Astyanax mexicanus: one gene and its partners. The protein of the gene in region 2 interacts with the protein of the main gene of each other region in a pairwise test. Links are inferred from orthologs where the notes say so. Each region holds a gene or a part of one and is shown on either strand. Other genes may lie near its edges.

Region 1 (7,859 bases), on a different chromosome or scaffold from region 2:
AGTTTTTCAAGAGATGTTTATATCACATGTTAATTACTCATATTACTCATACTAGCAAAGTTATAATGATTTACATTGACCTTACACTGAAAGTAAAGGTACTACAAAGTACTACTTTCTTGGAGGATTGCCATAAAAAAATATTTGGTGCCATAAAGAAGCATTTTAACAGATTTTAAAAAATGAGGTTGTAAAGGTTCTTTAAAGACTGGGCTGTTTATGAAAAAAAATTGAAAACAAGCATATTTTACAGTAACATAATTATACAGCTAAATTTTTTTCTATATGTATTTCTAATTTTATCTGATTTCTCCCCAATTTGGAAGACCAATTACCCACCCACTCATTAAGGCTCCCCCTGTTAGTAGTAATAGAATACCATCAACAATGGTAGCACGAAGAAGGCTAGGAAATGCCTCCTCCAACACATGTGAACCCAGACACACCTCTTTTGTATTTGCATTAATAGGTCTGTTTGGAGTGATGAGGGGAGAGAGCGCCATCTACTTACCCAGAGAGAGCAAGGCCCATTGGGCTCTGTTAGACTCCGGATGCTGATGGCAAAAACCCAGTAAATCAAACCGAACAATGGACATTACTAAAGTGAGCAAAACTTATGAGTTCATATCTTCAGACATAAAAAAGTGGAATTTCTCAAAGAACTACATAAAGCACCTTTATTTTAAGAGTGTATATTGCATATAAATCTTCCATACGCTGTCATTTTTTCCTGCACTAATGAGTTTCTCATATTTACACTAATACTTTCCGAACACAAAGATAGCCAGTAGGATCATTTTACTGTTGGTTTGGTCGAGTTGAATTTGATATTCCCTCTATTGTCCAAACAAATGGAGTTTTTAAGTCAGAAAGCCCCACACCCTCTTAAAACGTCTTCTGAGGTGTCATTAAAATGCGAGCATTTCTTTATCCATCATTTACTTTGTTTTCTTATTTAGTTAAAAACACACACAGACACCAGTAAGTTTGAGACCTTTGCATCTGTGTCTGTATAGACCTAATCTACTTCAGAGCTCCAAGCCCAACATACCTGAGGAGGAGCTTGTTGACCCCCTAACAGCATGAAAGGGTAAAGCTGCTGCACTCAGGCACGCTACATCTCCCTCCATACCCCCATCCCTCATTCCATCCCTCTATCCCTCCATCCCTCAATCCATCCCTCACCCCAGGCTCTGAAACACAGAAGCATTAAAACACACACACACACACAAGCATAATCCAACACACAGGAGCTACTGAAGCCACAGGATCAGACTCTGCTTATGGAACTGGTCTGAGAGCAGTCTACATCTGATCACACTTCAGTGAGTGATAATGTTACATGGTAATGACAGTGTTACTTTTAATTTGAGCCTAAAACTAAAGATGAAGGTGATACAAAGGGTTATTTGAGCGATGGTATAGAACAAAACTATTTTTGGTTTCATTAAGAGCTGTTTTTATAAGAGATGTGTATAAAGAACCATGAAAGACAAAAAATGGTTCTTTACTTGCATCTCCCTAAGAACCATCTTGGGTAGGGCTGCATAATTAAAAAAAACAGTCATTGCAGTTTCTCTAAGATATATATACTGAGATTTACAAAAAATACACATATTTATCTGTCCAATATAATTTCATTAATTTAATTTAATTTACCCCTCACTTTCAGTATTTCAGTGATTTTGGAAAGGGGAAAGTTAAATATAATGTTTTACACTAACTTTCCTGTTTTTGAATTTAGCCACAAACTGTCAGAAAAATGAACTTAAAAAGGTTATTACTGACCATATCGGATTCCTGACTTTTCTGTTTGTAAAACATTAACAAAAAACAATGTTTTCCTTTAATCATATCAATAACACATATAGAAACATCTACTGCAATGTCATTTTATTTCTTCCAATATCACGCAACTCAACCTCTTAACCTCAAACCCTCACAAAACATATCTTTCTTTGATTTTATCAAATTGAAAACCTCTGAAATATAATCAAGAGGATGGATGATCACAGCCATCAAACCAAGCCCCTGCGTGATTTTTTGCACCAGGAGTGGCATAAAGTTATCCAAAAGCAGCGTGTAAGGCTGGTGGAGGAGAACATGTCAAGATGCATGAAAACAGTGATTTTGTTATTTTTCAGCAAATGAATAAATGCTCCAAATGACAATATTTTATTTCGAATTTGGGACAAACAATGTTCATAGTCTATAGAGTAAAAGAACAATGTTGATTTTACACAAACATATACCTATAAATAGCAAAATCAGATAAACTGATTCAGAAACTAAAGTGGTCTCTTAAATTTTTCCAGAGCTGTAAGTTATATACATATGCATATGTTTTACTTCCTTTTAGGTAGTCATGTAGTTAGTTAGTTATCACTTTTTTTTTTTTGCATGAACACACCTGAACACCTGAAGTTTAGCCAAGTAATGATGAAACCACACACACACACACACACACACACACAGAGCAGTTAACGAGTCAGAGCCCTGTCTGCTTCTGTTCAGACCTGTGAGTCCCCTAATCTACTTCAGAGCTCCAAACCCAACACACCTGAGGAGGAGCTTGTTGACCCCCTAACAGCATGGCGGGGAAAAGCTGCTGCACTCAGGCACGCCTCTACATCTCCCTCCATCCCTCTATTCCTCTCTCATTCCATCCCTCCATCCATTTCTCTATCCTTCCCTCCATTCCTCACCCAGGGCTCCCAACCGCAGGACCATGAACAAACAAACAAACAAACGTTTATAAACACCACCAGCATTTCATACACAAATAATACACACATATGGTGATTATAGAGACTTACCCGGGGACACTGTACACAAATACCGGACAGAAAAGGGATAAATAACCGGATAAAGAGGGTAAAATAATCCTGTTACCTTCAGCCAGAAGGCGCATAGCGTGAACAAAGGTCGTGTCCAGCGTTTCCTTCTCGGCCATCAGCTCCGGCAAGTACTTGTCCTGATCCATAACCGGCCACCGCTCCTCTCCTGACCGCGGCGAGAGCAGGTGAGACACAGGGGAAGAAAGTGCGGAGAGGCGGACGGGACTGTGGTCTGACTTCGCCTGAACCCTGAGGAGAACTGACGGAGCGGATATCGGTACAACACCGGCTGCTTTCCTCCGTTAGCTAACGGCTGTTTTAATAACGGCAGCGTTATTCAAACCAAAAAATAAACACTCATATCCTCCTCGCGCTCGGTTTAAACGCAGGGCTCTCGTGCGAAAGCTCCCCGCCTATAGCCACGGAATAAGCGCGCTGGCCCCGCCCCCCTCACTGCTGATTGGCTGGGTCGGAGAAGCGAATTCTGGAAAGCGTCAAACAGCATCAACGCTAACGGTATGTAACGATATAATAAGGTATACTGCGGTTAATCACGGTATTCTGTGGATAAATACTAATACTACCGTAATGTAAGATTTGTTGTCTTAAAGGGGACATATTATATCTCTTTTTTACACAAGTTAGACTGTGATGTCATGGGGCTCAGAGTGGTTCAGCGGACTAAAGCCCAATTTATACTTCTGCGTCGAACCTATGCTGTAGCCTGCGCATATCCAGGGGACACATTTATACTTCTGTGTGTGCGTATCAACAGCTCTGCATCGCTCTGCAGTTTAAACCGCGAAGGTGGGAATATGTGCGTGTAAAGCTACGGCGTAGGGTACGCAGCGATGCGTAGGCTAAGGCGTAGGATTGATGCAGAAGTATAATTTGGGCTTTAGGCGCTGCCACAGCGTTCAGGAGATCGCTGGTTAGAATCCCGTTTATGTAGCTCGCCATCAGCTGCCAGAGCCCCGAGAAATCACAATTGGTCTTGCTCTCTCTGTGTGGGTAGATGGCGCTCTCTCCCCACATCACTCCAAAGGGTGATGTCGCTTAGCACAAGGCGTCTGTGAGTTGATGTATTAGAACCAAGCTTGCTGTGATGCTACTCAACAATGCTGCATCAGCAGCAGTTTAAAAACAGGTGGAGCCTGACTTCACATGTATCGGTGGAGGCATGTGCTAGTCTTCATTACCAGTGAAATGGGGGAGTCCTAATGAGTGGGTTGGGTAATTGGCCTTGTACATTGGGAAGAAAATTGGATTTTAAAAAAGTATCAGTGATGTCTGTATCTCTTAAACCATTTTTTTTTCAGTAACAAGTAATCCAACACGTAACTATTTCCAATTAAAGTTACTCATTCACGTCACTGTGTATTATTTTTGGTCATTTTCCTTAGTAAAAAGATATTGTATTGATGAGAAAGATGTTTACACTGGTCGATTTATTGCTGGAACTTACGTTTGCTGTTGATGCTATAACTCATCTAGGGATGTGTGTGGATAAGTGCTTGTGTGTGTTTGAGTGCTAAGTGTAAAATGATTGCATGTGGAACATGATTGTAAAGCGTCCTTGGGTGTCTAGAAAGGCGATATATAAGCGTAACTTTATTCATTCATTTAAGATGGTTAAGACGGATACAGACAGGATAGACAAACAGCATGACCACTCTGGTCGATCAGCAATGTCCAAAATAACCAAAATCAAATGCAACACTAGTAAGTTGGTCAAGCGTAGTGCAAGGTATGCTTTCACTTGAATGACCAGCTTTTCAAACATCTTAAGAAATTGAAGCCTAGCTCAGACAATCCAAATCCAGCTGCCAGCAAAAACTGATCTTGACCAGCATAGGGTGTGAGTTTATTTGTTTAGCTGGTCTACAAACAAAATTAACTATACAAGCTGATCAATCAGCATGATCAACAAGACCCAGCTGGATGACTACACTGGCCTAAATCAAAAGCAACATACACTATGCTACTCAATAGCCAATTAACCAGATAGTTGGTAACACTTTATAATACCGGTACAGGGTATGTTTTCAACTGGATGAGCATCTTGACCATCAAAGAGCAGCTTAGACTATGCAGAACCAATTGTTAGAAAAAAATGGCCTTGACCAGCATAGGGTTGTAGTTTGATGTTTTAGCTGATGTTCAAGCATAATCAGTGATCAAGCAAGGCAACCAGTATGACCAAACTTGAGTGTGCTGGTTGACCAGCTAGATCAAGCTGGTTGATTAACATGGCCATGCTGGTTGACTAATATGGCTGCGCTGGTTGACCAGCATGACCATTATGACCAATTTTGTCAACCAGCATCACACACAAGCAAAATCAATGCAGCATGCCAAATTCACCATGCTGGTCAAAAGCTGGTGAACCAGCTAGACTAACAGCATGTTTTTGTCTAGCTGGATGAACAGCTTCCAACCACCTTAGCCATCAAATACAAAAAAATTGCTTTAGACCTTCCAAAACTAGCTAACAGCAAAAGCTGATATTGAACTGGATTTTTCAGAAGTGCTTCAGGCACTAAACATTAAAAAAATTCTTTTAAAATAAGGAGATGGTTAAAACCTGTAGTTGAATACTAAATCATTGGTTTACCTTTACAGATTTTGAAGAGTGGTCACTCACGGCCTCCAATGTCAATGTCAAGTCCTTAGATCCCTAACAGAAATTCTCCTTACTGGACCATCATGTTGGACTTGTGCTGAATTGCCTTGGGCTGAGCATAAAGAAATAATCATACATGTACCTACATACATAACCTAGATACATAAATACAAGATGAATTATGGCATTGTGCTTCATTTCTGGAGCTGTTTATTCTTGTTTGTGGTACCAAAAATGTGCGAGTTGTAAAGTGGTTTAAGACTAATGGCGCTTGTGTGGGAAAGGTAAGCTAACAAATGAAGCAAGGTGAAATCTGTCTTAAGGAAGACACTTGTTCCATATTTATGGCAGGGCACAAAGTCAGCTCAATTTGTCGTGTCCGTGAATACTAATCAATGGCGTTTCTGTATGCCTCGGTTTGCCAAGATGGATTAGGCATTTGTGACAGGCAGTCTATAGAGGGAAAACATGCACAAACAAACACAAGCACACACATTCACACACATACACTTAAACACATGCACCAAAAGAGAGAGAGAGAGGGGCAGGGAAGTGGGGAAAGACAGAAGGAGGAGGAGGAGGAAGAAGAAGAAGGCCTGCTTGCCTAATTAATGACTGAATGGATTACTGTGCTGTTGGCAAACATCTGTACACCCAGTGTCACATTCAGCGACTGCCTTGTGAGAATGTTCATAGAGCCTCGGTCCACTGGAACGCGGTGATTAGACGCCATGTACCAAAAATTGGTCTTTCACTCATGCGGGGACACTGCACGCACCAGTAACCATCAGTATTTATCAGATGTTTTCAAAGTAACAGTGGTTTATAAAATGATATCCAATTGATCTACCGCAGTCCAGTGCAGAATTGCCCCTGCACATAGTCTGTTGACTGGCTTCTGATTTAAGGGAAAGCAGGACACAGCTAAACGCCACATTCTGGATATTTAAAAATGGTTTATCCTAACAAAATCTACATATCTCTTCCACAAATTAAAATTAGATTTTGTTCCCGGCACAATCTATTTGTGGAAAATTCAGCACAACAGGGTAACATAGCCTAAAGGCAAGGTTAATTGTGACTGACAGAGTGGCTAGCTGAAACAGTCAGTTGAAAAAAGTAGATGCGAACCCAATTAATTAGTTGTAATTCTATGTTGATGTTTTTTTAAGCAGAGGAGATTTAAAAACTATACACAACACATTTATTTCAGCTAAGCCTCATTTCCACAAGCTTTAAAAAATTAAAACATACCCTCTATCCTGTAAAGCAAGATGGTTAACCAGCTCTTGACTAGCATAGTGTTGCTGATCATGTTGGTCTTGCTGGTTTAGCCTGGTCAGGTTAATCATGTTTCTTCAACAAAAGTTACTGTTACCAAAAGAAACTGGTGATTATGTCTGGCCCCATAACAATCTTTATTATGTTTTATATATTGTCCAGGAAATAACTATGCTAAATGACATTACTGTCATTTTTAGACATTTTTTTGGCCATTATATAACTATAATTACACTCCTTTAAAGAGCAAGGAACTTTTAATAATTTATAATATTTAGGAGAGTTAGAACTTTTGGGCAATTTGTACTTTCTGTGAAAACTTTGCAGCATATTTTTTAAATATTTCAAGTAACACGTCTTTACCTTATGAAGGTTGATCTGTGAGTACAGCTATGAAGATGCTGTAGTTGATGCATTGATCAATGTATGACTGGCAAAAAAATAATGATGAAATAAACATTCTAGGAATCACGCTGGACAGTATCATTGTCAGCAAAAATTATCCACAGTCAGTGGCAGGCCTTCTGGTTATGAACAATGTATTCCAGAAAGAATCCTGAGAAATATATGATCGACTGCTGTCATATTGTACAGAAATTGGTTGCAATGGAAAACAATAACACAAGCAGAATCCTCTTCTACTCAATTCCGTCTAACTGCATGCATTTTGTTTTGGTCCCTGTTCTCCCTTACTCCAAAAACAGCCGCCATTAAATAATCTATTTCCGGCATTCTGTCAGGAAAGACCGTGAAAGAATGGATCCACAAAACCACAGGAAAGCAGCGTTGTACTGCGCAGACCTTCGAATTGGCATATTGCAAGGCCCTTTCAAATGTATTGTCCTCATTCCTCTGTTAATCATACTTTATTGATTCCGCTCTCCTCGCCGTGGATTCATTTTCTCAATTATAGACACTGTCTTTAAGAGCTGTAAAATTCCGCAGACTGGCCTTAACCTCCACAAACCATAGTCTTACACTAATTCACATTCTTCCACACGTAACTTTAGACTTTCGTCTCCTCAGCACCACGTCTCTCTTTTTCTCCGGAATAAAACAACTGTTCAGGTAGCTGACAAGTCCATGCATCTTAATAGGATTATGATTCTGGGTGGAAT
Region 2 (7,419 bases):
GTCTAACACAAAGAATATGTACTTTAACAAATTCCTAAATTACTCATTAGTATGAAAAATATTTTTTTAAATGTTACCATTAGATTCTACATTACAACTAATTACAACTTTAGATCAGTACAGGACATCAACTTAATTAAAAACTTGCTTTTTAACACTGGAGCGTCAAATCTGTATAACAGTTTAAATCCATGATGAATGACTTACTGCTGGCTGGTGGCTGCTGCCCATATGACGACCCATAAGCCTGCTGACCGTAACTCCCAGATGAGCTGCCAGTTTGAGGGTAGGCTGAATCAGCAGGTTGGGTGTATGAGCCATAGCCCTGCTGCTGTCCGTATGATTGCTGGAGAAACAGAAGCGCATCATAAGCTTATTCACATTCCCAAGACTCTAGATAAAACTCAGTGCACATTAATATTAAGAACATAGAACATTTAGGACATTTTTTTTTAAAGATACAAAACTCAGCCGACACAGTTATATACTTTTTTATATAACATAATTTTCTGTGTGTTTTTTGGGGAAAAAATAGATTTAAAATACATTCTTTTACTGTTTTTAATGTCAGGAGTATTTAACACTAACTTGCTTATAACCAGAGGCTTTAAAGGCCCATTACGGATTAAATTTTCTGTAGTTCTTTATTACATGATCAGGATGCATCATCAGATATTAAGGAAACATGAGTTTAAGCACGGACACCTCTTCCCAGCAGAGCATAAGATTCAGCTGCAATATTTGAACTGTGAACTGTGTTCAAATATGTAGTGCATCCATTCCCCTAGTACCATTTCCACACTCAGGGTTACCAGGTATAGAACACATCAGCATGCAAACAGTGTGCTACAGCCATGGAAACGGGTGAGCTGGCTATTTTTCTGTTGAACAGGTAATCACTGAGCTTCAGTAAGGTTGCTAACCAAAGCTGAGTAATTTAACACCTCCAATAGTGTAGTAGACAGAGACATTTTGGACACTGAAACGTACATCTTTACAGAGTAAGACTTGTTGTCACTTGCCACTGTGTGGCTAGTGCAGGAAACTTAATCAGGTGTTTGGAAAGTGGACTCATGTAGCCATACTGACTGATCCTTTAAAATAGGAATAAATTATCTGAGTGTGTTACCTGGGCACCCTGTCCGTAGGCCTGAGAGGGCTGGGCAGCATAGGAGCTGTACCTGGAAAAAAAAATACACTAACATTAACAAGCAAAATAACCATTATATATATATATTCAGAAACAATTATATATAAATATTAATTTATATTAATTAATTAATATTTTCTATACTTAAAAGCAGTATTCTTACCCTTGCTGGCCTCCGGCCTGCCCGTAACTGTTATAATCTGTGGTAATAAAAAACACAGTCAGTGTAAAAAATTATGTTTATACCATACATACAACCTAGAAGAAATAAAACGAAAACCTACCAGCCCTTCTGACTGTTTTTTATGGCTATTATTAATTATTGTGCATCCCAAAACAATTATTGCATACACCAGAGGTGTTATAACACTCCTGAGAATACACATGAGAAATTCATAATTACCTAGTTCCTAGAAGAACTCCCTCATCAGCTGAAGAAGCAGAGCCACTTTTGACATGATGCGCTTATTTTATAGACAGAATTTAAACTACTTATTAAAAAAATACTGTTAAAATTCATATTAATTGTGCCCACCTAAGGCAAAAAGATTCTGCATTATTTCAGCCTTACTTAAGAGAATACACAATTGTATCCTAATGTGTCAATCAATAAAAAAAACAATTTGATAAATAATTAAAATAAAATTAAATACAGTTAATGCTACAAGTTATACACATTACTCTAATTTTTTACATATCACAGAAACAGTACACCAAGGTTAATTTGTTCCAATACTGTGAAGTTTAGTCCTCCAACAAATGAGCTAATCCCTTCCTTTAACAAATAGTTCTCCCAACTAAATAATCTGTTTCTTCAGTTCAGAAGGGGCACTTTAGTTAAAGGTTCTTTAATCCTGAATGTTGTATCCTTACTAGCCAAACATATACAAGACAGAACTAAACGAATAAAAAAAGAAACTAGCAAGTTAATTCAAAACAGGCTGATGATCAAAATGCCTTACTGTTGGTTTACAGTAATTAATTACTGTTATAATGTGATTTTCAAAATGGGGGTAATTCTGATTGTACATCTTTACATATATAAGCTACAGAGGGAATCTTAGTAGATGGACATTTGCGCTTTTATGTGGCAGTGATTTTCATCATTTTAAACTTTACCTTAAATACAAACTTGCAAGTAGGTTATGATTAGACAATGTGTTTAATATAAAAGCTGCGTGTACAGTTAAAAGGCGGGTGCTTAATATTCATAAAAACATTTATTTAATGTTTTAAATAAATAATGTTTTTTAAATGAAAATAAATAAAAATGAAGCAATAGCTTGATATTGTGCTGTGTTTTTTTTTTTACAAAAAATATTTTATTTTCTTACTATTATTGAGTAATACTGCTCTATCATTCTTTTTAGTATTTATCTTACCTGTTTATGTCTCTGTACAGTAAGTTATACTAGTACCTCAAAATAACGAAACAGTATCTCAAAATAATGAACAAGTATCTCAAAATAATAAGGAAGCTGTTTATATCACAAAAAAATGTGCTGGATTTTATTTTATTTTTTTATTTTAGCCGGCGGGAATGGGCTTCTATACCCTACTGATGTTTTGTGGTAAAAAATAACTAGTTAAAAACCTAGATAACCTATTTATCTAATTTTCCACAGATCATTTCGATATTATATAATAAGGACAAGCTAAAAAATATTTCAATGCGATTTTTAAGCGTTTAAATTCTCTTTTTTGAGTCAGAAATGCAAAAATGCTAGCTAACTAGTTACGCCCACCGCCTTAGAATAATGGGCTAGAGAGCTAGCTAGTTAGCTAACTAGGTTAGCCAGTCATTCTAATCACGTTTAACTGAATTTACAAGCTAGCGAACATAAAATAGCTTACTGCACAATGTCTAAACAACGTTTTACACCCACGAATACAGCTAGCTAAATAAGCTATACTGACCGACAATGTCTATGTAAGCGTTAAAAAGCTCAATCTACCGGTAACGCTTAGCTCAAATAGCTGAATAGCCAGCTAACGGTAGAATGCTCACGTTCATAAACCAGCCAAATAAGCCTAATTATAATCGATTTAACAACATTATACAGATACAAACATCACATACAATATGCTTATATATTCTTCAACCAATATCTGATGATAATAGTCTACGTTTCATTATAAATAATCGTTTTTCTTGCATTATTGTAACCGTTACCTGCAGCGGACGCCATTTCGTGTTCTATTTTCTTCACCCGGAGTCCACAGGCGAGAACTGCGCATGCGCACGATACCTTCGCACCAAAGGCGCATCCATTCAGCTGCGATTTATATAAAATCATTTTTAAAAGTTTTACAAATGGTTTAAAATCGCGCTACGCTCTACTATAACCCAAATTAAGTGTCAGCATTTATACTTAGAGTTCTGAACAAGGTTTAAGATAAGTATTTAAGCTCAGACTGTGACAGTTTGGACTGTATATTGTATATTATGTAAAAAATGGACCAGTTCTTAGAGTTGATGTTGTTGTTATACAGTAAGGTTGTATATGTTTTTATTTATTTATTTTTCATACATTGTAAATGAATACTGAATTAATCTAGACTATGAAGCGAAGCATAAGGAGTCATGTAGTGAACCTAAAAGTGAAACATTTAGCTGGGCTCTTATCTGGGTACTGGTCCTGATAAGTGCCAGTTTCATCATATTTTTTAAATGGTTTTTGTGACTGCACGTAAGGATATTTTCAAAGTTCTTGAAATTTTTCAGATTGACTAACCTTCATTTCTGAAAAAGTTAAGTATTTTTTGCTTTACTTACTTTACATAACCCCAATAGTTGAAACAAAATCACTGTATACCAACTACAATTCTTCTCAAACACATTAAGAGGGCAATTAATTCTTGATGAGTTCAGCACAGCTGTTAACTTAAAGCCATTCTAGGTGACTATACTTTATAAAGCTGTCTGAGAAAATGTTAAACTACAATGCAGAACATATTCAAAGGTGCGTCCAATCATACATGCTACAGTTTAGAAGTTTAGATCCAAATGAAAAGCAGATAAATTATTTAAATCAAGTTTTGTTGAATAAATATGTTGGTTTTGAACACTCTCAAATGATATATACAATTATCGTAGAATAACCTGTATTAATGTCTGAGTCAGAACATCTCTAGAACATCAGGCAAGTCTTGTTTGGTGTTCCAGAATGAAGTGTTCAGCACCTAATGTACTGAAAATGTCCCTAATGTACCGATAAGCACCCAGGTTTATCATTGATGCTCATGTAGGCTCTGCCCACCTCTTACACAACTTACAGAACTTAAAGCTACAAATAAGAAAGACGACAAGCCACCAGAAATCTCTCTTTTTGCAAATGATGCTTTAATACTGTACTCAATGAAAATTTCAATGAAAATTCTATCTAGTATGAAAATGATGGCTATTTTTTTCTTTTACTTGCGAAGTTTACCTGAAACATCACAAGTATTTTTTTTTACTTCATAATGTGTGCGTGTGCGTGCTTCAGATCCACGGGATAGAGACGGCTCAATAAATTCAATATTCCCATTTCAGAGTAGCATACAAAACTGTATCTGGAAAAATACTTATGGCACTTTTGAAATCCGATATGAAAATGGAAATGTCTGTGAATAAATAAGAGGGTTTCCCAAGTCGAGGTCGTATCTCTAATAAAATATAAATATAACAGCAGGGCTGCACTGACAAACTTATTTAAAGATGTTATATGGCAGATGTTGAGTGATGTTGAGTTTGGTGGAGCCGGTGATGATAGTCAGTGGCAGATATCGCTGATATGAATGTGTTTATCTAAGGCAGTCAGTCTCGATTGATCCTGCTTTAATAAAAAAGTGGGGGATGGGCTGGAATGTTGAAATGGTATAAAAGGAAAGGCGATGAAACGTCCGGTTGCTGTGGTTAGTGCTGCAGAGCTGCGGTGAGGAAACAGGAGGAGTGTAAGTCATGGTAAGCCAGGGTGGATTAGCTCAGGTCTCAGAATTTCCTCGCTGCTCACAGTAATCCATCCTGCTCGAAGACGGAGGGAAGCAGGGAGAAGTCGAAGGGGGCGAATTTTACACCTGTTCCACTGTAGAACTTGTTCTGAAACTCCACCCTGGAGACAGAGAGAAATAAAGAATGATTATACAGTAAATAAGAGAAAAAATCCCTAAAACTGCAGCATACACCATAGGAAGGCTAATACTCCCACCCACTTTAATTTAGTGAGTAAAAATTATGGTGACTAACAGCATCTAGCTGGAAGTGTCTGTGGCATGTGAGTGTAATATTGAGTGTGTGTGCTGACCAGTGTAGGCGCAGGGCGTGCAGGAAGGCAGAGAGCCCCTCCATGATCAGCAGGATGGAGACGGTGAGGATGGCGAAGAGACTGAAAACAGGGGCGAGAACCAGCACCCCCAACCTGGAGTTAATCCTCAGAGCAACACGCAGGACCATCGCCCACAGCACCTCCGACAGCTCTGTTATACACATGCACACGCACACACAAACAAAACATTTATTTTATTTTTATATAACAAAAGCATTCAAATACAGTATGTGAATTGTAGTAATACACAAGAGAAAGACAGATAAGAAGTCTATAGGCGATACCGTTGCAGTGCTTATTGCTATCTTACACCCTACCAACAGTCTATTTTCACGCCTTCCACCTTCCTCGTTTAAATAGCAACAGTGCTTTTGAATATATCTACACTGATGGGCGTGGTGGTGTGGAAATTAAGGAAAGTTCAGGTAAATTTCTGGCGTATTGCTTTCTTGGCAATAGACAACCTCAACCTCAACCTTGCCTTTTTTATTACTCTCATTCTGCATTCTCATTGGCTGTAGCTAGTCGCTGCATTAATGTCCAGTCAAAGCACTTTTCACACTACTGGAGTCACTGGCTAGTCCAGATATTAAACCTGCTAGATATTAGATATTGTGGACGAGCTCTCGGATCACATCTTTGACCAGTTCACACACAGTGATTATGACAAGACAGAGGGAATGCAAACTTGTAGCTCAATATGCTCAATGAGTGTGTATGTGTGTGTGTGTGTGTGTGTACTAACGAGCATGAGCCAGGCTGAGGGCCCACAGGCGAAGGTACGATGCCGTGTTGGAGATGCAGCCCAGGCAGAACTCTATAGTGTGAATGGCCTGATGTAGGAAAACATCCCCAAAATCAAACTGCAAACAAAAGTACACAAATTAACTCACATAACAAATACACAACATGGGACACCAGCTTTTTCATGGTTTATTTTAAAATTAAGGGAATGAAAAAAGAGTTTATCCTGCTTTTGTTAAAGTAACTGTCTGAACTGTCCAGGAGAAGGTGTTTTACTAGATGTTTGCAATGGGTGCAACTTAGCTGTAAATTAGCTAACTGCATTCATTAGAGGGCTGTCCACAAATATTTGGACACGAGTGTGAGAAACCACATAGTAATTTAAGTAATTCTTAATAAAGATATCTGTGTATCAGGTTCAGGTAGTGTTTGTAGTTTGATAGTTTGAATCGGACCTCTTTTGGGCTGCAGTCTCGACCCGGGTGATCATCCAGCCCTTCCTCTTCATCGTGGACGATAGACGGGGACAGATCGTCCTCACTTAAACGGCGAACTCGCTCATAGCCCTGTACAGAAAAAAATAAGACACTGTGAAAAAAAACAAAAAAACAAAGCTAGCAAGGGTACTATTTGCAAATTAGATCAAAACAATGGGTCAAGATTAGCTTTTATCCTACATAGCTAATATCTTACATCAATATGTTTAATATTACAAATAAATGAAAAAATGTTTTGTGGCTGTAGTGCAAACATGTGGAATTATTCACTTTTATCTTAAAAAAAACAAAAAAACAAAAGCTTTTATCATGCCTACCTCATTCTGCAGTAAACAATATGTTATATTGGTGGTGCACAAAAAACACATACACACAGCTGACTGCCTGTATGGTGGAGTCAGTACAACCCAATGGGTAGAATTATTGTTTTTTACCACAATTAGTGAGCACTGGACGAGGAAAACAGCAGATAAAATCATATAGAGTAGAGTAGACCTGTATGGCCTACACAGCCTTCGAAAGCTGCGCCACCATCCACCACATCCTTTAAAGAATCCTGTCCCTGAACTGGAACACACTCATGCAGTCTCTACATGCAGCATCCCACAGTAGTCAACACGCACGTACACACACCCTGTGGACTCCCAGGCTTTTGCTGCCGTGATGAAGCCAGTAGAGGTAAAGCGGTTTCCCCAGCAGGAGCACAGGAACACACAGCAGA
Region 3 (8,041 bases), on a different chromosome or scaffold from region 2:
TAACATTACCCCTGCAAAGTGTGGAAGATAATTTTCAGGATGTAACTTTCTAGCTAGCTTGTTTGCCTATTCCACACCAAGCAGGGCATTCAAATATCATATCAAGCACGTCCAAAGCAGTGTAGGTAGAACTCTCGTGGAGCAATGACCCCTTGTTACACGCTCATCCCAAAATCAGATCAGGGTTAAACCTAAACCATTACGCTAAATTAAAACACTATGAAACTTCATAATAACGCATGGCTACTTTTGGATTATAAACAGCTTATGAAGTTGCTATGTTTGTATCCTGCCTCCAAAAGAAGCCTACGTGCCTCTGCAAACTGTGGAGGATCATTTCCAGGATGTACTCCACACTGAGCAGGGCCTTTCATGTCATATCAGACAACATATCAAGAACATCCATTGCAATGTTGGTGGAACCCACATGAAGCGACCCCCCCCCCCCCCCCTTACCTGCCCATCCCACAAGAGAGACTTGGGTTAGACAAGACCCGGTCTCCACTACAAGACTGACTGACTGACCTCTTTAGGCTTGGCTTATTTAGGCAAAGACAAATTAATAACAGATGCTACGTGTAACTGTTGGATCTCTAGAGGAATCTGGGGTTTATCGTAGAGGCCTAACTACGTTACCTACATGTCTCTGCAAACTGTGGAAGATCATTTCCAGGATGTAGCTAGCTAGTTAGCCTAATCCACAGTGAGCAGGGCCTTCAAATATCATATATCATATCAAGCACATCCAAAGCAGTGTAACCTGAGTGGACGCACACTAAATCAACGACCTCTCCTTAGCTAGGTTAACTCGTTAGCTTTCCAGATAGCTACTTTAGACTTAACTAGCTCACCTAGATAGCGCTAGCTAGTTAGCTAGCTTATCTACACATCCTACAAGGGAGACCCGCGTTGGACCAAAACCAGCTCCCTAACCTTCACCATTAGCTAACTATTTAACAGCTGTAAATTATCCTTATGCTTCGTTTTTTTTAAGCATAAACACCCTCTATATTAGCTATAGGCCTATAAACAGTCACTCTTAATAGTATAAATGGCACTTACAGTTTCTTATGTCCGATATGAAGACCGCTAATCCTCGCATTCCGTCTCCTTTCGACACAGCCGGCATCTTTGCAGGATTTTGTTGTTTCTTCTCACCTTACACGAAAAATAAACCACTTTTTGTCGACCTACGACGGTTTAGCTCACCTCGCTTTCCACAAAATACGCTCGTTTCGTAGCACAGCACCACTGAGCTACCTAACTAGCTAGAGCTATGTTAGCCGAGAAGCTAGCTAAAGCTAACGTTAACTAACCCGTACTCTGGCGCTTTTGATGGATGTTTAATGTGCTAGAGAGTTAGCCACCTAGCTAACGATAGCTGCTAACACAGTTGTGTGAAAGCTGAAATAACCAGACCTGAAAGTCAAAGTGTCTACAACCTATCTCTCTTTCTGCCTGTGTGCTTCTTTATTCAAAATATGTATCTGTCAATTCATAAGCGAGAAACCCGCTGCGCTCCGACCGCCGCCGTTTAAATTCATTCAAACCCAACAGTCCAAAATTTAACTACTGGCCCAAACGACGACAGGACTGAGTCACTTGGTGTGTAAAACCAAATTTACAGCGGGTCGTTTTCCTATAACACACTGTAGATGAGTGGATGTCCTACACAACATAAACAGCCACCGGGAGAGGGAGGAAAGCGATTAAAAAATAAAATATTTGATCTCCTTTCTGCTCGCTGTGAGTCACGGCACGGCGAGCTAGCGGACCAGCTAGCTGGCAGGCTAGCGCTATCAAACGTTAGAATACATCACCCGGAATGACCAGCGCGGTCGGAGACGGTCAAACCTAACGTTTTTTTCGGCGAACAATCTTATATTTAGCTGGAAAAACACAAATATGTAGTCTAGAATTCGGTTCGAGGTCGTCGGTTTCGTGCCTGCCGCGCCAGGTCGGTGTTCACGGACGAGGCTCGTGACAGAACGAACGAATAGCGATGTCCGACTCGGGAAAGAATCGGTTCATTTGCAAATAAATCCATTGAACCGAATCAGAGTGAATTAATCCTTACTGTGGCAGCCTATATAATGTTTACTTTAGTGTTCAAAACTAAGTTATCATTATGTTAGAAGTATATTTATACTTTTATTTAGTTTCTTGCACTCAGTGATACTCGTAGGTTCCAGAACCACGATTCTCATCAAGAAGAAGAGACGAAGATGCATGATAAATAAATAAAGACAATATTATATTGTGTTGTTGTTGTTATTCATTGCATGCATAAGGAAATTAAATACATGTTGTCTGCTCCCTGGTTTATTAATCGTGCACAGCATGCACTAGAAAAAAACACTGTGTTTTTTTCCACACAGTAAAATTGTGGTAAAAAAATGTGTGTTGTATATGATGCAATTTGTTTAAAACTATTAAAATCTACATGTAATTGCATTACTTAATTATTTTATGTTTATAACGTGTACTTTTTAAATATCTGCAACTTCTCAGTTTTTTTATTTTATTTTATTTTATTATTATTTAGATTATCTATTATTTTATTATTTATTAATACATTATTTGCAATCTTATTTTATCTATGTGTACGAATATCGTTTTATGATTCATGCAGCTGTATTTTGATTTTTGCCACAATGTAAACAAAAAAAGCAAGCTAATAATTGCGGGACCTCTCCCACCCTAAAAACGAGAATGAGTCACTGAATCGGGCAATTCGAAAGAATCGGTTCGGTAAACTGAATCAAAGTTCGTCTACACTCCAGCAGTATCAGTAGTAAAGGATTCTAGTGCTTCCTCTCGAGAAGCTCCGCCCCCCTGCTACCACAGCACACGCTGATTGGCTGGTAATAGTTTGTAATGCCGTTATGAAAACATTAATAGCTCGTTTAAATTGAATCTGGATCAGTAAAACTTGCTTTGTTTCTACATTAAATATATTTATTTTATATATGATATAATCAAATAGTCTAGCGGAAAATAAGCGTATTTGAGTTATTTGATATGGTTCAAATGAAAGGAACCATCTCTAAGAGCTCATTTACAGAAAGTTAACGGATTTTGGTATGCTGTCTGATGTCTGACACACTGGTTTACCACAGTTTTGATCATAGATTTGTCAATATTATATAAAAAAAATAGATTTTTAGCATGTTATCCTTGAACATCTGTTTTTCTGGCTCTCTGGGAACATTAACCTCAGTGTACTGCACACTGCAATAAACCATCCTGACGTACTGTGCCACCACACCGTGGACTTTATTATGGAAGATTAATGTCACTTGCTATGAAGTATCATAAATATGATCATTACGCAATACCCACTGCCCTGTGTGGAAAGTCAATTGCTCCCTTTGCTGTATACTTTACACCATCCTCAACACCAATCATTGCAACTACACTCTATCTGACATCATTGATCAGCTTTTTACTCTGCGATGGAGGGAGATAGCTGCTTATTTCAGGCCCTGTCACAGTAACTGCAATGCAGTGCTGTCATTTTACAACAATATCAAATCAATATCAATAGCACAATAAAATATTTAATGCAGTATTACAGTAGAAACACAAACAACCATTTTTAGTAACTGAGTAACTGTCTCTATTGTCCAGGGATGGCTTATTCTATTGGCAAAACTTTTCTACAGGGACTAGATAAGCTGTGTGTGTACTTTTCTCTTTTTGTTCCAGCAATGGGTGCAACTTAAAGTAATTGAATGCATTAATTAGAGAAGATGTTTACAAAAAGTGAATACGTAGTTTTGTGAGTTTTGTAAGTTAAAAAGCACTTATATACATGTCAGTGATAAACGTTATATGCTGCTACTGCCTGTGTAAAAAACGATGAATCATCTAACAATTAGGAATTTACACAAAAGGAATATTTCTTTTTAGATTTACTCAAGAGCGCCCTCTAGCGTTTTCCAAGGGTGCGTCCCAATTGCGAACTGCATAATAATAATATAGGTATGTACTATATACTGGTCCTAATAGTGTGAGTTTTGCAGGTTAGCACACAAAAATATTAATAAATAAACCCGTTTTTACTGGCAGTGAAGTCATAAGGCACTTTTTAAAAATAATTTATGTTTTTCCTTTTTTGGCAGATTTTTTAGTATACTCAACTTTTATCTATACTACACACTAAATACCCCAAAACTAGTTACTACTAGTAGGTACGCAATTGGAACACAACTCATGTCTTACTGGCCAGAATGGACACAAATATTAGGGAAAGTATTATTTGCCTTTTTTTTGTTCATTCTAATCAAAATTATACAATTTTTTTTATCAAATGATAAGCAATAATTACAACCCATGACTAGATCAAAACATTTGAAAAGAATTCATATTAATTGATTGATAGTGAAATTAAGTTTACATACAAAATAAGTTCATCTGGCATGATTATGTCAGACATAGTACTGCTGCTACTGTATGATATTGAATGTATAAACTGACTGTATCTATTATTAATATCCTTCCAAAAAACAAGGCACGTTCAAATGAGAATAAAAGCTATCGGGGGTGGGGCAACATGAAAGCTGTCCAATCACAACTCTTCAGTGGATTTAAAACCTGGACTGGTCAGGATTTACATGAAAAGCGAAAATACTGCAGGAACTGGGGCTGGAATCGCAAACAATCCCGAATCACGGCGTTGATGGCTTCACACTGAGCCAATAGCGACAGGGTTTATCAGAAAGGGCGTTACAATGGGTGGGGTCACGTTACAGCGGCCCAATTACCGATATGATGACTGGATTTAGAGCCAATGGGGACTGGATTTAGAGGAAAAGGCGTAGTTTGGGAGGTACTTCATCGCAGCAGTCCAATCAGAGAGCCGGAGTATGTGGGCGGGAGTCTAAAGGGGAGCGTTTAATGTTCCGCGCTGCAGCTGCGAGTCCAAAACTTGTCGGCGAAATGGCGGAGACGACGGACAGGATGGAGGTGAGCTGGAGCCGCGTAACAAAGACGGGCAGGGGGAGACCGCGGTTCATGTGGGAGAAATCCCAGCGCGCTTAGGGGCCGTGTTTGTTCGGTAGAGGCTGTGTGGCGGAGCCGCTGACCCGCTTATTTCGCTAATTAGCTCGTTGCGTAGTGACCTGAGCTCTCGGTAATGTGCGTATAGGAGCATCCATTTTAGCAGCACATCGCTCCCCATTCATTTCCACTAACACGTGGTTGCTAATCTGCTAACACACAGTACCGCCGTGGGGTTATGGCGTCTGTTAAACATTCCGTTTGTTTTATCTACTGCTCCGTTTGTATTTATTAATGAATCACTATTCTGTCTATAGTTATTTAGCTAGGTTAGCTGTGCTGCTAATAGAGAACGCATGGGATTGGCTAGCTGGGTATCTACCTAGGTTAGCATGTTAGCCAACTTAGCTAGTTAGCTTAGATCGGGTAGCTAACGCCGCCGCCTCGTTGTTTCTACATGTGTTAACCAAAGTGATATTAGAAGTTGGAGCTTTTTTTGGTTAGTTTTGAAGTAGTAAAGCTTATCTACTGAGATTTAGCCACTGACCATAACTAGTAACCTTTTTTAGCTATAGAAGCTAAAGGTGGCCTCTCGCGAATTCCCCGGTCCACCTTAAATGGCACCGCAGCTGCTACAGATGGAGCTAGCGGCGCCAGAATGTAACTTCTGTACTTTTTAAGGTGGAACTGAGAATTTAAATTTTAAGGACATATTTTTTATCTACATGGCCTTACCCCTTTACTGTAAAAGGTACAAAAATGATTTCTTAGGATCGTTTCCCTTTCAGAGGCTCGAGTACAGTACGGTTTATTGTAGGACCAGGCCTCATTTATTTTACATACCACGTGTGCTGGTCTGTTAGTGATAAAAGCCTTTGTCTGCCCCCCTTTTTCCTGTGAACTTCTCCAGTCCGCCACCCATTGTGGGGTGTTAAATTTAAGAATTTAAGTGTGTTTTTTTTTTTTTTTTTAAGTTTTGATTCCATTTAAAATTATTTTGGGGGCCTTAAGTGTTCTTTTATGTTCTTTTTATCTTGCGAAATTCCACAAAAACACAATTTACTTAAAACTCCAGGCTGAAACTCTTTTGGCTTTTGTTTTAAATGTAGTATTTATTTAATCCTTTGTTCTCCAGGTGTCCCAGGGAGAGAGCTCAGAGAAGCCTGCGGCTGAAGACATGACGTCCAAGGACTACTACTTTGATTCCTATGCTCACTTTGGCATCCACGAGGTTGGTACTCTTGTTGTTATACCCCTGTATTCAATACTGTACAGTATTTAATAGTTTAGACTTAATTTCCTACCTTACGACCTGTTTTCTAATGCTTTTATTTGGTGTTTACAGGAGATGCTTAAAGATGAAGTGCGAACTCTCACATACAGAAACTCCATGTTTCACAACAAGCATCTGTTCAAAGATAAGGTGGTGTTGGATGTGGGCAGTGGAACTGGCATCCTGTGTATGTTTGCAGCTAAGGCTGGTGCCAAGAAGGTTATTGGGGTAAGTAGACATTCTTGTTGTGCAAGTCAATAATGTAACATAATTAGAAGTGTGTCTAAAGGAACCTGTAAGTAACTGTGCTGTGTGGTTTGACCAAATATGTATACAAAAGTATACACAATATACAAAAGTCCCACCTCATTAACAGAAAATGTGCATGCACACCATAGTCTTTAAAGAGATACACAAACAACTTTTAACCCTGCTTCCATTACAAAACTAAACTTTAGTTTTATACACTATAAATGGACTAAAAATACTCAATTTTGAAGTATTTAAAACATTGATTTTTTTTAAAAGCTCTTGCATGAGTAAGATAAGTTTAAGTTAAAATGTTTTTATTGAAGCCATTGGAGGTGTTACAGTATTGAAATCAGCCACAGTTCCCTCCTTGCTCCAGTTAAACAAATTAAGTCCAGTGTATTAAAATGAACGTTTAAGCCATAATATATTTAAGAGCTATAGGGTTTTCCTTGTGTCCTGAGTTTTAGGGAGTTTAATGACCCCACACTCAGGACCAAATCTGGGCTCGTCTGGGGAACGAGAAGCATGTTTGTACGAGCACATTGTATTAAATTCCTCTCTGGTATACTGTATGAACCTGTATGCTGCCCAACACTAATATAACAGTTACCTTTGAGTGTCTGCATTGAAAACCAGTTTTAAACACATGTAATGTTTGAGCCTGGTTTATTGGGACACAAATCCGCTGCTTGTGTGAAATCAACTTTCACTGCTGTTTCTGTTAAAGTTACTAAATGGACAAGTTGTGTTCTAACATTTGTGTCTATTTTCTAGATTGAGTGCAGCAGCATATCTGACTACGCTGTGAAGATTGTCAAGGCCAATAAGCTAGATCATAGTAAGTGTATTTCTATTTTGGTGGTTCTGCATATGTCATATAAGAGACAGTAAAAAAATTGTTACTGATTGCTCTGTTAGTGCAGTTTACCAGGCCAGCATGTCAGTTTTAAATTAGTTCATAGTGTTCATATTTTACACAAACTACAAGGTGTGTAATTGAACCAAGGGCAGGACGTGTTTTTTTTTTTTTTTTTTTTTAAGGATTTCATTATAGATGTCTGCTTTAGATACACAAAGTTGCGGTGACTGTTTGATTCTCATGAATGTGTTCTCTGTTCAGTTGTGACCATTATCAAGGGCAAGGTGGAGGAGGTGGAGCTTCCAGTGGAGCATGTAGACATCATTATCTCTGAGTGGATGGGCTACTGTCTCTTCTACGAGTCCATGCTCAACACTGTGATCTATGCCAGAGACAAGTGGCTGGTAAGCGTTCAAAAACCCGCTTCACAATCTTTGTGTATGTGTAGGATATTTTGGGTGTATTTGTGCAGGAAGCTAAATTAAGTGTTAATATTTGTTTTCTTGCACACAGAAACCTGACGGGCTGATCTTCCCTGACAGAGCCACTCTTTACGTCACAGCTATTGAGGATAGGCAGTACAAGGATTACAAAATCCACTGTAAGTTCTTTTTTTTGTTTGTTTTTTCTCTATTCGCTATGCCAAATTAAGCCCT

What was found. The genes of interacting proteins can lie anywhere in the genome.
Region 1: the proteins of ewsr1a (region 2) and khdrbs2 interact in a two-hybrid assay, tested with the Homo sapiens proteins (2 studies listed by BioGRID and IntAct). The two-hybrid records come from large-scale screens. The link is inferred for Astyanax mexicanus from reciprocal best matches to the Homo sapiens genes EWSR1 and KHDRBS2.
Region 3: the proteins of ewsr1a (region 2) and prmt1 interact in a two-hybrid assay, tested with the Homo sapiens proteins (2 studies listed by BioGRID and IntAct). The link is inferred for Astyanax mexicanus from reciprocal best matches to the Homo sapiens genes EWSR1 and PRMT1.

Annotation. Positions count from the first base shown.
Region 1 is NC_064414.1:43,132,386-43,140,244, reverse strand, and holds the start of khdrbs2 (KH domain-containing, RNA-binding, signal transduction-associated protein 2), read right to left. Parts: upstream 3,230-7,859; 5' UTR 2,984-3,229; coding exon 2,893-2,983; intron 1-2,892. UniProt on the Homo sapiens protein: RNA-binding protein that plays a role in the regulation of alternative splicing and influences mRNA splice site selection and exon inclusion. Binds both poly(A) and poly(U) homopolymers. Phosphorylation by PTK6 inhibits its RNA-binding ability.
Region 2 is NC_064427.1:20,602,906-20,610,324, forward strand, and holds the start of ewsr1a (EWS RNA-binding protein 1a), read right to left. Parts: upstream 3,388-7,419; 5' UTR 3,340-3,387; coding exon 3,324-3,339; intron 1,351-3,323; coding exon 1,314-1,350; intron 1,182-1,313; coding exon 1,130-1,181; intron 347-1,129; coding exon 208-346; intron 1-207. Other genes in the region: atp6v0a2a (V-type proton ATPase 116 kDa subunit a 2), read right to left, coding at 5,142-5,244, 5,437-5,608, 6,203-6,320, 6,657-6,767, 7,326-7,419. UniProt on the Homo sapiens protein: Binds to ssRNA containing the consensus sequence 5'-AGGUAA-3'. Might normally function as a transcriptional repressor. EWS-fusion-proteins (EFPS) may play a role in the tumorigenic process.
Region 3 is NC_064426.1:20,248,452-20,256,492, forward strand, and holds the start of prmt1 (protein arginine N-methyltransferase 1), read left to right. Parts: upstream 1-4,812; 5' UTR 4,813-4,899; coding exon 4,900-4,968; intron 4,969-6,136; coding exon 6,137-6,232; intron 6,233-6,346; coding exon 6,347-6,502; intron 6,503-7,300; coding exon 7,301-7,364; intron 7,365-7,646; coding exon 7,647-7,789; intron 7,790-7,898; coding exon 7,899-7,986; intron 7,987-8,041. Other genes in the region: ap2a1 (AP-2 complex subunit alpha-2), read right to left, coding at 1,063-1,129. UniProt on the Homo sapiens protein: Arginine methyltransferase that methylates (mono and asymmetric dimethylation) the guanidino nitrogens of arginyl residues present in proteins such as ESR1, histone H2, H3 and H4, FMR1, ILF3, HNRNPA1, HNRNPD, NFATC2IP, SUPT5H, TAF15, EWS, HABP4, SERBP1, RBM15, FOXO1, CHTOP, MAP3K5/ASK1, MICU1 and NPRL2.